3 linked regions of the Macaca fascicularis genome follow. The protein of the gene in region 1 binds, or shares a complex with, the protein of each later gene. Links are inferred from orthologs where the notes say so. Each region holds a gene or a part of one and is shown on either strand. Other genes may lie near its edges.

Evidence for each region.
Region 2: ZC3H13 (region 1) and METTL14 share a complex: the UniProt entries of both Homo sapiens proteins name them as parts of the WMM complex. The link is inferred for Macaca fascicularis from reciprocal best matches to the Homo sapiens genes ZC3H13 and METTL14.
Region 3: the proteins of ZC3H13 (region 1) and VIRMA are in contact, whole or in part, in a cryo-EM structure (PDB 7VF2), measured with the Homo sapiens proteins. The link is inferred for Macaca fascicularis from reciprocal best matches to the Homo sapiens genes ZC3H13 and VIRMA. Residues at the interface, in NP_001317494.1 of Homo sapiens: Pro1492, Leu1493, Asp1494, Val1495, Ile1496, Asp1497, Val1498, Asp1499, Trp1500, Ser1501, Gly1502, His1507, Leu1518, Lys1520, Phe1521, Pro1523, Val1526, Met1527, Arg1529, Val1530, Gly1531, Ile1532, Ser1533, Lys1535, Leu1536, Ala1537, Gly1538, Leu1541, Lys1544, Val1545; in NP_056311.2 of Homo sapiens: Leu521, Ser529, Tyr531, Gln532, Leu535, Glu536, Ile538, Leu539, Leu540, Asp541, Val544, Val547, Thr548, Ser551, Leu554, Gln555, His558, Glu561, Val562, Ser564, Glu565, Lys567, Gly570, Asp571, Ala574, Glu575, Thr577, Ser578, Glu621, Glu625.

Annotation. Positions count from the first base shown.
Region 1 is NC_088391.1:25,167,870-25,171,780, reverse strand, and holds part of ZC3H13 (zinc finger CCCH domain-containing protein 13), read left to right. Parts: coding exon 1-401; intron 402-1,108; coding exon 1,109-1,633; intron 1,634-3,911. UniProt on the Homo sapiens protein: Associated component of the WMM complex, a complex that mediates N6-methyladenosine (m6A) methylation of RNAs, a modification that plays a role in the efficiency of mRNA splicing and RNA processing.
Region 2 is NC_088379.1:123,984,738-123,988,648, forward strand, and holds part of METTL14 (N(6)-adenosine-methyltransferase non-catalytic subunit METTL14), read left to right. Parts: intron 1-1,033; coding exon 1,034-1,121; intron 1,122-3,175; coding exon 3,176-3,256; intron 3,257-3,616; coding exon 3,617-3,704; intron 3,705-3,911. UniProt on the Homo sapiens protein: The METTL3-METTL14 heterodimer forms a N6-methyltransferase complex that methylates adenosine residues at the N(6) position of some mRNAs and regulates the circadian clock, differentiation of embryonic stem cells and cortical neurogenesis.
Region 3 is NC_088382.1:104,136,016-104,139,577, reverse strand, and holds the end of VIRMA (protein virilizer homolog), read left to right. Parts: intron 1-1,170; coding exon 1,171-1,314; intron 1,315-2,390; coding exon 2,391-2,545; 3' UTR 2,546-2,729; downstream 2,730-3,562. UniProt on the Homo sapiens protein: Associated component of the WMM complex, a complex that mediates N6-methyladenosine (m6A) methylation of RNAs, a modification that plays a role in the efficiency of mRNA splicing and RNA processing.

The sequences.
Region 1 (3,911 bases):
ATCTTCCATCACCATTTCCACCTCTGCCACCCCCACCAGTACCACCAATAATACTTTTGCCAATGAAGACTCACACAGAAAATGCCACAGAACACGAATGGAAAAAGTAGAGACACCTCATGTGACTATAGAAGATGCACCACATCGCAAACCTGTGGATCAAAAGAGGAGCAGCAGCCTTGGGAGCAATCGAAGTAACCGTAGTCACACATCTGGTCGTCTTCGCTCCCCATCCAATGATTCTGCCCATCGAAGTGGAGATGACCAAAGTGGTCGAAAGAGAGTACTGCACAGTGGCTCAAGAGATAGAGAAAAAACAAAAAGCCTGGAAATCACAGGAGAGAGAAAATCTAGGATTGATCAGTTAAAGCGTGGAGAACCCAGTCGAAGTACTTCTTCAGGTAATAAAATTGAATTATGATCTAGTCACTGTTTCATAGGTTAGTATATTTTATACGTATTTTAATTCTAAAGTAATGCTAAATTGGTTACTTTACATGTTGCCTTAAATTTATGGAACTTTTTAAAGAAAAGCTTAGCTGCCCCATCGAAATGTTACCTGTTATCACATTAATACCAACATTATAATAGAAATACATATAATAGTGTTAATCAGTTTAGTATCAGAATTTTAGTAGTATGTCTTGGTGGAAGGGTTTATGTGTTCAAGTCCCTTATCAGTGCCTATGATTTTAACCTTCCTGCTATTCTTCATGCAGTCAAGGCTGCCTCTTTTGACCACAGAAAATAAGATAGGGGAGTAGGAAGAGATCAAATAATGGAGTGATTAGTTCTATTAATGCCTAATCATTTTATGTACTTCTTGGAAGATATTTTATGGTTATAGTGGAAATAGACAAGGAAACTTTTTTAAATTTATTAGAACTTTGAGAGAGGAATTTTTCTTAGAATGACTTATATGGATATTTATATAGAGAAATATATATGTAGAATATAGAAATATATAGAACATAAAGAGATAATATGGAATATAGAAAATTATATAGAATATGGAAAAAGGTAAATTATGTTTTAAAGGATCCTGAAATGAAGCATTTTGTTTCTATTGTGTGCTAATAACTCTTTGTACATGGTATATTTATTTTAGATCGCCAGGATTCAAGAAGCCATAGTTCAAGAAGAAGTTCTCCAGAGTCAGATCGACAGGTCCATTCAAGATCTGGGTCATTTGATAGCAGAGACAGGCTTCAAGAGCGAGATCGATATGAACACGATAGAGAGCGCGAGAGAGAGAGGAGAGATACAAGGCAGAGAGAATGGGACCGAGATGCTGATAAAGATTGGCCACGCAACAGGGATCGAGATAGATTGCGAGAACGAGAACGAGAGAGAGAAAGAGACAAAAGGAGAGACTTGGATAGGGAAAGAGAGAGACTAATTTCTGATTCTGTTGAAAGGGACAGGGACAGAGACAGAGACAGAACTTTTGAGAGTTCTCAAATAGAGTCTGTGAAACGCTGTGAAGCAAAACTGGAAGGTGAACATGAAAGGGATCTAGAAAGCACTTCGCGAGACTCTGTAGCCGTGGATAAAGAGAGAATGGATAAAGATCTGGGATCTGTGCAGGGATTTGAAGACATAAATAAATCCGAGAGAACTGAGAGTCTGGAAGGTGAGTGCTACCTCTTTTTCGGTGATACTGCCTTCTTTCTTTTCAGATTTCATGGGAAACAACTATTTTCTTCTGAAAGGGCATCCACTAATAGGCACATTGACTTCATTCTCCATTCTTTTATAGGGGAAGTAGATATCAGAAGGAAAAGGCCTATGAGATACAGACATATATATATATATATATATATATTTTTTAATGTGGTCCCCTCTACTACCATGAAGGCAGATTTGGTTCACATAAACCTAAATGAAATAAAAGATTGTTTAGATGCAGTGCGTATAGATGTTGAAGAATAACCATCACATCCTTTTCTTAGATGTTAAAAAAATAAGATTACAAAAATTGAAATGACTTCTTAGTTCAGAGAGGGATTCAGATAATTATTAGTGAATCCCTATTTTCTAGGGCAGTTTAGAACAAATATATAAAACAAAAACACGGCCGGGCGCCGTGGCTCAAGCCTGTAATCCCAGCACTTTGGGAGGCCGAGACGGGCGGATCACGAGGTCAGGAGATCGAGACCATCCTGGCTAACACGGTGAAACCCCGTCTCTACTAAAAAATACAAAAAAAAACTAGCCGGGCGAGGTGGCGGGCGCCTGTAGTCCCAGCTACTCGGGAGGCTGAGGCAGGAGAATGGCGTAAACCCGGGAGGCGGAGCTTGCAGTGAGCTGAGATCCGGCCACTGCACTCCAGCCTGGGCGACAGAGCGAGACTCCGCCTCAAAAAAAAAAAAAAAACAATAACACTACCTGAAACTGTATTTAATGTCGGATTGACTAGAATCCCACTGGTACTCCCCAGTCCTAGAATAGGAACGCTAAGTCCATGTCAACCTTTTGGCCCACTCAGAGCCAGCCCCAGCTGTGTGAAACCTCACTCTCCATGCTTCTACTCTTTACCCTTCAGCCCCCATTTACTAGACAAGCTGACTTGTGCCTTTCCATTCTCTGCCCTTCTTTGTACCACTCATACCATTGCCTGATAGACCTTTTTCTTTTATCTCATCTTTCTTACTCAAACTTCAAGTCCCAATTTATACATTATTTTCTCGATGAAGCCTTCTCTGCTCGAGGCACTTACTGTTTCAGATTCATCTCTTCATATTACATTTTCATCTCAATTTTGAGTATAAATAGCATCAAATCATGAAGCATGGTACAACCCTGGGATATAATTGAATATAATTGAATTAATCATTATCAGCTCTCTGTGATTAAAGTCAGTATCCCTCATCTCTAAAATATATAATTTGCTAGTTATGATCACAGACAATATAGCATAGAAATGTATAACTGAATCCCTTGCTATGTGACGTAAAGTTTTTACTCACTTAAAGTAGGAAAATGAGTTGGATCACCTTGAAAAATGAAAAATCCTATTATGTGCCTTTATGTTTAGATGTATGTTTATATGACGAAGTTACTAAAATTGGTTACCTTAGAAGTGACTTAGTGAGGATATGGGGAGATTACTATAGAATTTGATAACATGGAAAATCACTAGAATGACTAGAAATGTCTTATAACTTCTTATATTTTATTTGCTGCAAATTCATACCCATAAAGCATACGGTTACATTTTGAAACTTAGTATTGTAGATTCAGTGAAATGTATGGTTAGCTAGTGATTATAAACGTTAAGTGTATTCTGTAATTTTAGGATTAAGTTCACAACTAACTCACCAAGAGACAAAGTTTAGCATAGGTGGTTGAAAAAAGTTGGTAAAATAAAAAAAAAAAAACATACGCTAGTGGTACTCACAAAGTTATTTTTAATTGTATTAAAGCATTCTTCTAAAAATTGTGTTCGTCAGTGAATAAGATCATTGAGATAGGGAGGAGGAATTGAGATGTAGAGAGAGAATTAATGGCACTTCTTGTATTTTTACCTCACTGCTGTAAAGTTTATATAATGAGCTAAATAATATGAACTAAGATTTAAGCTTCAAGTAAATTTTTGAAATAAGTTTGCAAGTTTTTAAATTACTTTAGATAAATTGTGAAAATTTGAAAATGTAACTTCAAAATCTTTTGAAGTTAGATTTGTCTGAGTTTTAAAGTTTTAAATTATCAAAAATTAACACAACACACAGTCAACATTAGTATGTTAGTAGTAGCTTTTATTTGTCATAATTGTGATCTTATAACCTGTTGTGATAATTGCTGTCCAGATTGTATTCTTGCTGTTAAAATTGAATTTACCTAATTAAATTTTATTTATGTTTTCTTTTGATATTGTCAAGTATTTGAATAATTAAGAGATGTAGTTTTCT
Region 2 (3,911 bases), on another chromosome or scaffold:
AACCGGCAAGCGGAGGCTGTAGTGAGCTAAACCAAGATTGTGCCACTGCACTCCAGCCTGGGAGACAAGAGTGAGACTCCATCTCAAAAAGAAAAAAAAACTGTGAAAGAATTACTGTTTTAATAAACAGATACCCCTAGGTAGGTGTGCAGTGTATTGAGAAAAGCATAAAAATAATGATTTTAGACACAATGGTTTTTATTGTCAGTTCATTAATTATGAAATATTTATTTTCTGAGGATAGTAAGTTCCCATTTGTAAAGTACTTAGAAAATGGAATGTTAGACTAAAAATTAGCATATATACTATAAATAAATAAGTATATTTAAGTTTTTTTTTTTTTTTTTTTTTTTGGAGACGTAGTCTCTCTCTGTCACCAGGCTTGAGTGCAGTGATGCGATCTTGGCTTACTGCAACCTCTGCCTCCAGGGTTGAAGTGATTCTCTTGCCTCAGCCTCCCAAGTAGCTGGGACTACAGGTGCGCGCCACCACTTCCAGCTAATTTTTGTATTTTTAGTAAACATGGGATTTCATCATGTTGGCCAGGCTGGTCTCGATCTCTTGACTTTGTGATCCGCCTGTCTCGGCCTCCCAAAGTGCTGGGATTGCAGGCATGAGCCACCATGCCCAGCCTAGAAATTTGTATAAAAGGAAGTATACTTTACCCTAAAAGTGGTATTTATTTGGTAGTTCAGAAAGCATTTGAAAATTTTTTCGTTATTCTAGTTTTCAATTTGGACATATGTTTTGCTCAAAACAGATTAAAATAATACATACTATATAAGTTTCTTTTCAGTATATCACTTATAGCAGCTTATTTTCTCATTTGGTTGCTTTCTCATGAAAATGAAGCACAGAATTATCAATCAAGTTATTTGACTTTTTGGATGACTTATAAACTGGGTAAATAGATACTCTTTAATCAGGAAAACTTTGTCTTGTTCTTTTTTATAATCTGTTTATTATTATTATTAATAGATACTTTTATGCATCTTGTATATGTTTGTGAGTAATATTTCTGTTTATTTTTCAGGGCTTCCTATGATACCTCTGCTCCAAATACGAAACGTAAGTATCTGGATGAAGGAGAGACAGATGAAGACAAAATGGAAGAATATAAGGCAAGTAGAGAGTGAAATAAGTTTATGGTCAAAGAAAACATAAATTCAAATGATAGATTTATATTTAGGAAAACAAATTTGATAGAAAGCCTCATTTTAAGATGTGCTAAAATAATTATCAGTGGCGTATGTTATCACTGGTTACATTAAGACCATGGTATCAGTTTTCTTATCTTTTTCTTTTTCTTTTTTTTTTTTGAGATGGAGTCTTGCTCTGTCGCCAGGCCGGAGTGCAATGGCACAATCTTGGCTCACTGCAACCTCTGCCTCCTGGGTTCTAAGGGATTATTCTGCCTCAGCCTCCCAAGTACCTGGGACTACAGGTGTGCACCACCGTGCTCAGCTATTTTTTGTATTTTTAGTAGAGATGGGGTTTCACATGTTGACCGGGATGGTCTCGATCTCTTGACCTCATGATCCACCCGCCTTGGCCTCCCAAAGTGCTGGGATTACAGGTGTGAACCACTATGCCCAGCCAATTTTCTTTTCTTAATGCAAGAGTTGTGTGGATTAAATTAGATTATGTATATGAAGCACTTAGCATAATGTCTGGTAAGAACTAGGTAATAATATATATATATATATTTTTTTTTTTGAGATGGAGTCTCACTCTTGTCGCCCAGGCTGGAGTGCAGTGGCGTGATCTCAGCCCATTGCAACCTCCTCCTCCTGGTTTCAAGCTATTCTTCTGCCTCAGCCTCTCGAGTAACTGGGACTACAGGCACGCACCGCCACGCCTGGCTAATTTTTGTATTTTTAGTAGAGATGGGGTTTTACCATATTGACCAGGCTTGTCTCGAACTCCTGACCTCATGATCCACCTGCCTTGACTTCCCAAAGTGTTGGGATTGTAGGCGTGAGCCATCGTGCCTGACCAGCACTAGGCAATAATATTCTTAAAGACGACTGAGGATATAAGTGTATCATAAACTTTGGGCCCGGTGTTGTGCCTCACGCTTGTAATCTAAGCACTTTGGGAGGCCAAGACGTGCAGATCACATAAGGTTAGGAGTTCAAGACCCTCCTGGCTAATGTGATGAAACCCTGTCTCTACTAAAAATACAAAAAATCAGCTGGGCATGGTGGCACATGCCTGTAATCCCAGCTACTCAGGTGGCTGAGGCAGGAGAACTGCTTGAACCTGGGAGGCAGAGGTTGCAGTGAGCCGAGACCATGCCACTGCACTCCAGCCTGGGCAACAGAGTGACTCTGTCTCAAAAAAAAAGAAAAAAAAAACCACGAAACTTTGAGTAATTGATTGGATCAGATTTTGAGAAGCTGCAGTAGTCTTTTTTGAGGAGGAGTTATTCCATGTTGACAATATTGGATAGTACAATCAAGATATTTTTAGGATTTATGGCCTAGACTACACTGTAGAAATATTTCTGAAAGAGCCTCAAGGGAAACCCAACTTCTAACTTGTAGTTGCAATATTTAGTTGAAATAGTTGAAAGTATTATGGTCCAAAAAACTTTCTTCTGTTTTTTGCAAGTTAATTGTATATAATAGAGATAAGAATGTATAGTTTCAATAAAATCTCTAGAAAGTTCAGTGAAATAATACCTAATCTCGCGAATAATGTCTTATATGTTGCAGTTCTGATAATACATAACTTAAATGCTTGTGATTATTTTAGGTGGAACCATATACAGTTGCTGATATTCTAACCTTTTTGACCTATAAGCATAGCAGTTTCGTATAGTTTAATCTAATGGAAATAAAATTGCAACATTGGTGGTCATATCTTTCATGACTCAAACTAAACTCTAATATTTATAGTATTGTGTATGAGATAAATAGTTTTAGACAAATCAACAAAATAGTAGTTATAGTAATTATTATTTATGATAGGAAATTTTTTTATGAAAAGAATCAACTAGCTAGATCTAATGATGGGAAAAGCAAAGACTTCAATGTTTGACTTCAATGCTAATTTAAAACATTTATTAAATCTTAAGGAAATAAAGTATTTATGTTGAGTTTTAATCAAGATGTGATAATTAGAGAAATAGCCCCTATTTGTAAAACATTTACTTAATCTTATGTTTTTCAAGGATGAACTAGAAATGCAACAGGAAGAAGAAAATTTGCCATATGAAGAAGAGATTTACAAAGATTCTAGTACTTTTCTTAAGGTAAAATAAATAATTTTTGTAACTCATCACATTTAAGCTCTATACCTGAAAAGATTTTAAATACCTATTTGTCTTCAAGATATTTTTTGATTATTTAAGGATCATTGTTATGAAATAAAGATTATTTAAAATTGCTCATGAAATAGTCTTCTGATATTTGGCTAGTGTGAGATAAAGGTATATTAATATCAGTAGCTACTGAAAAGTAATAATTTTAGTTGTATTTTCAAATATTACTATTTTTTAAATCTATCAATTGACTGCATTTTGTATGACCTTGTAGTAGAAAACAAAGTAGAGATAATTCATCTGCCATTACAGTGCATGCTACAAATTTAATTTTGTTTTTTTTTAATTTAGGGAACACAGAGCTTAAATCCCCATAATGATTACTGCCAACATTTTGTAGACACTGGACATAGACCTCAGAATTTCATCAGGGATGTAGGTATGTTAGATTTGTTTGGAATACGCTATTGCTGACTCTCAATTACATGCATGTAATTTATCCAATTTGTGGATATTTCTAACAAAATTATTCTTCCCAGCTTGACATCTTTTTTTTGTTCTCAGTGCTCCTGATATACCTTCTTTTTCTTTTCTTTCTTTCTCTCTCTCTTTCTTTCTTTTCTTTTCTTTTCTTTCTTTTATTTCT
Region 3 (3,562 bases), on another chromosome or scaffold:
TCTCATCTCACTACCAACTCTGCCTCCCTGGTTCAAATGATTCTCCTGCTTCAGCCTCCCAAGTATCTGGGACTACAGGCATGCCCCACCGTGCCCAACTAATTTTTGTATTTTTAGTAGAGACGGGGTTTTGTCATGTTTGCCAGGCTAGTCTCAAACTCCTGACCTCAAGTGATCCACCCACCTTGGCTTCCCAAAGTGCTGAGATTACAGGTGTGAGCCACCGTGCTTGGCCTTATTTTCCTTTTTACATTGAGAATTATACATTTTCTGAGTAATACCCTTACATTATTTTCACAATTATACTTAACAGTTTTCTTAAGATTGTTCTGTGCAGCTCACCATTGATCTGCCTAATCTGCTTGCTTTCTTATGCTACATTTAGTTTGTTTGAAATTGTTACAGGATTTTTTTTTTTTTTTGAAACAGAGTTTCGCTCTTATTGCCCAGGCTGGAGTGCAGTGGCACAATCTCAGCTCACTGCAACCTCTGCTTCTTGGTTTCAAGCGATTCTCCTGCTTCAACTTCCTGAGTACGCATGTGCCAGCACACCCGGCTAATTATTAGTAGAGATGGAATTTCACCATGTTGGCCAGGCTGGTCTCGAACTCCTGATCTCAGGTGATCCACCAGCCTTGGCCTCCCAAAGTGCAGGGATTACAGGCATGAGCCACTGCACCTGGCCTTACAAGATTTTAGAAACTAGGGATACTTACAGAAATTATACTTTAGTAGTGGATTGATAACCATATTTTCATACCTGCTGAGTTAGGAGGGTGAGAGTGAAAGAGAATCTGTGTTTATATTAATAACAAACACTTAGATTAGGTGTGTCAGGAACTTTTATAAGCATTTTACATATTATAACCTCACGTCAACCCCATTTGGCAAGTTCTCTTAGTACCCCTAATTTGCGGAAGAGAAAATTGTCAGTCAGCTGACCAGGGCACATAAATACAAGTGGCAGAACCAGTATTTGATCCCTGGCAGTTTGGCTCTAGAGTCTCTGCTCTTAACCACTGTGATGCTGCCACTATATATATAGTACAGTCAATTTACAAAATTTCAGTTTCTTTTCCATTCTGTTGAAGATTAAGAAAAATCTGTCATTTAAAAGAATCCAACTGAAGTTGTGAAAAAAGTGATTTTGATTGTGCTGTTTGTGTTTAGGAAACTACAGTCGTCGGGAAGGAACAAGAGGCTCCAGTTGGAGTGCTCAGAATACTCCTCGAGGAAATTACAATGAAAGTCGTGGAGGCCAGAGCAATTTTAACAGAGGCCCTCTTCCACCATTACGACCCCTTAGTTCTACAGGTATACATCCTTGCTACTTGATATTGCTGAGAGAAGGGAAGTGAATTCTTCCTTTTTAAATTGTTGATATATACAGAGGGGGCTAGGGGTGCTAAACTTCCCCATCCCCTTGCCCCACGCAGTCAAAAATCTAAGTATAATTTTTGACTTCCCCAGAACCTAACTACTGATAGTATGCTGTTGACTGGCAGCCTTACAGATAACATAAACAGTTGATTGACACATATTTTATATATTATATATTATATAATGTATTACAATTAAATAAGCTGGAGAAAAGAAAATGTTATTAAGAAAATCTTAAGGAAAAGAAAATACATTTACTATTAAGTGGAAGTGGATCTTCGTAAAGGTCATCACATTCCATAGGCTGAGGAAAAGGAGGAGAGGTCTTACTTTCTTAGGAGTAGCAGAGGTGAAAGAAAATCCACATATAACTGGACCCAGGCAGTTGAAACCCATGTTGTTCAAGGGTCAGCTGTACTCTCATTCTGGGAGAGAATATTTTAGAGTATAGACTTAAAGTTCTAACATTTATATCCTTGAATAAATGCCCAATATACATCTTCTATAAAAATAATCAAATTTTTAGTTTCTGAACTGTTTGTATAATCTGAACAGTTTCATGGTGCTGTGCTCTTATTTTTATGTTTCAGTAATGAAAGTCAATGCTTAAGGTACCTTTCTGACCACAAAGTATTTTAATAACAGAGATACCTTTATATAGCATATTTTTTTTTGCTTATTGTCTTAGGCGTGTAAGCACATAACTTTTTTTTTTTTAAAACATCACCATATCTAGTCCAGAATGTTGCTCATCAGAAGTAGCTTTTGGTTTCAAATGCACATTTAAAAAAAATAACAAGTTTTATTTGGGATATAATTCTTATATACCATATAGTTTACCTGTTTAAAATGTATAATTCAACAATCTTCACCCCGTTCACAGTGCTTGCACATGAGTTTTAAAAGAGAAAAGAGTAATTCTTGGTTTGAGCTCAGTGACGTAGATTAGTATTTACATGCTTGGAAAAGAAAGGACGTTGGAACTAAAAACTGTATTTTTTCTTTTACAGGTTACCGCCCAAGTCCTCGGGACCGTGCTTCTAGAGGTCGTGGGGGACTTGGACCTTCCTGGGCTAGTGCAAATAGCGGCAGTGGAGGCTCAAGAGGAAAGTTTGTTAGTGGAGGAAGTGGTAGAGGTCGTCATGTACGCTCCTTTACACGATAAGAATCCTTTTGGGAACATCTTAACTGTATATGAACATTTTGTGAGGACAATAAAAATAAGACATTGAAGGACCAATTTAGACTTAGCAGTTATCTGGAGACATCTGAGAGAATATTTTTATCTGAAGAAAGCAGATTTTGTTTGATACCTAACAAGATTTCAATAAAAATCCAAACTTTGTATGTACGTTTCTATATATTTTCCCTTTTTTTGTATGACTATTTATTTAGAAAATTTCTAGGTAGAAAAACTGAATGACGTTTTGTATTTTTCTTGCCTATAGCACAGATGTTCTCAAACTTTCTCAGCTCATGACACTATTTAGTGCCTCAGTACTTTTTTCACAGCATACCTGGTCCAAAAGAATTATCTAATACTTGTGTTTATTAAGCAGTTAGGTACAATGGCTTAATAAGAATGTACATCATCACCACTAGTAACTGTGGACACTGCATGTCTCAAACCTTGGAATCAGTGTCATTTTCTTTTCCTCTCTGCTTCTTGCACAGTACTTTTTATCAAACTGCTGAAAACCGAGTTTTGTAAAGATATGTTGTTATAGAAAGGAATATAATGCTATTTAATGTTGAAAATGTAAACTACCTCGAAGTAGTAGTTTATGTTATGTCCAACAGGTGTTGCTATGTTTTTCTCAAAAATTTAAAAATATTGTGTGGCACCCATGTTAATTTGCTAAGGTGCCCTGGTACACAGTTTGGGAACCATGGCTGTACCAAAAGAAACAAAATACTCCTCTCCTTTGTATTAGAAATCTGAACTTTGCATTTCAGCTTTGGACCTACTGACACTATTTTATTATACAAATTGTTTAAAGCTTAAAATAAGGAATGTCCTAATACTCTTATTTTGGGAATCAGAAACATCTAATAAAAGCTGAACTTTATATATATATAGAAATAAAGCTTACAACTTTGAGAAAGTAGCCATATTTTCCCCAAGATAATGTCTTAACACACTGAGTCTATGTAAGTGGCATAAAATACAGAGTTCTCTTAA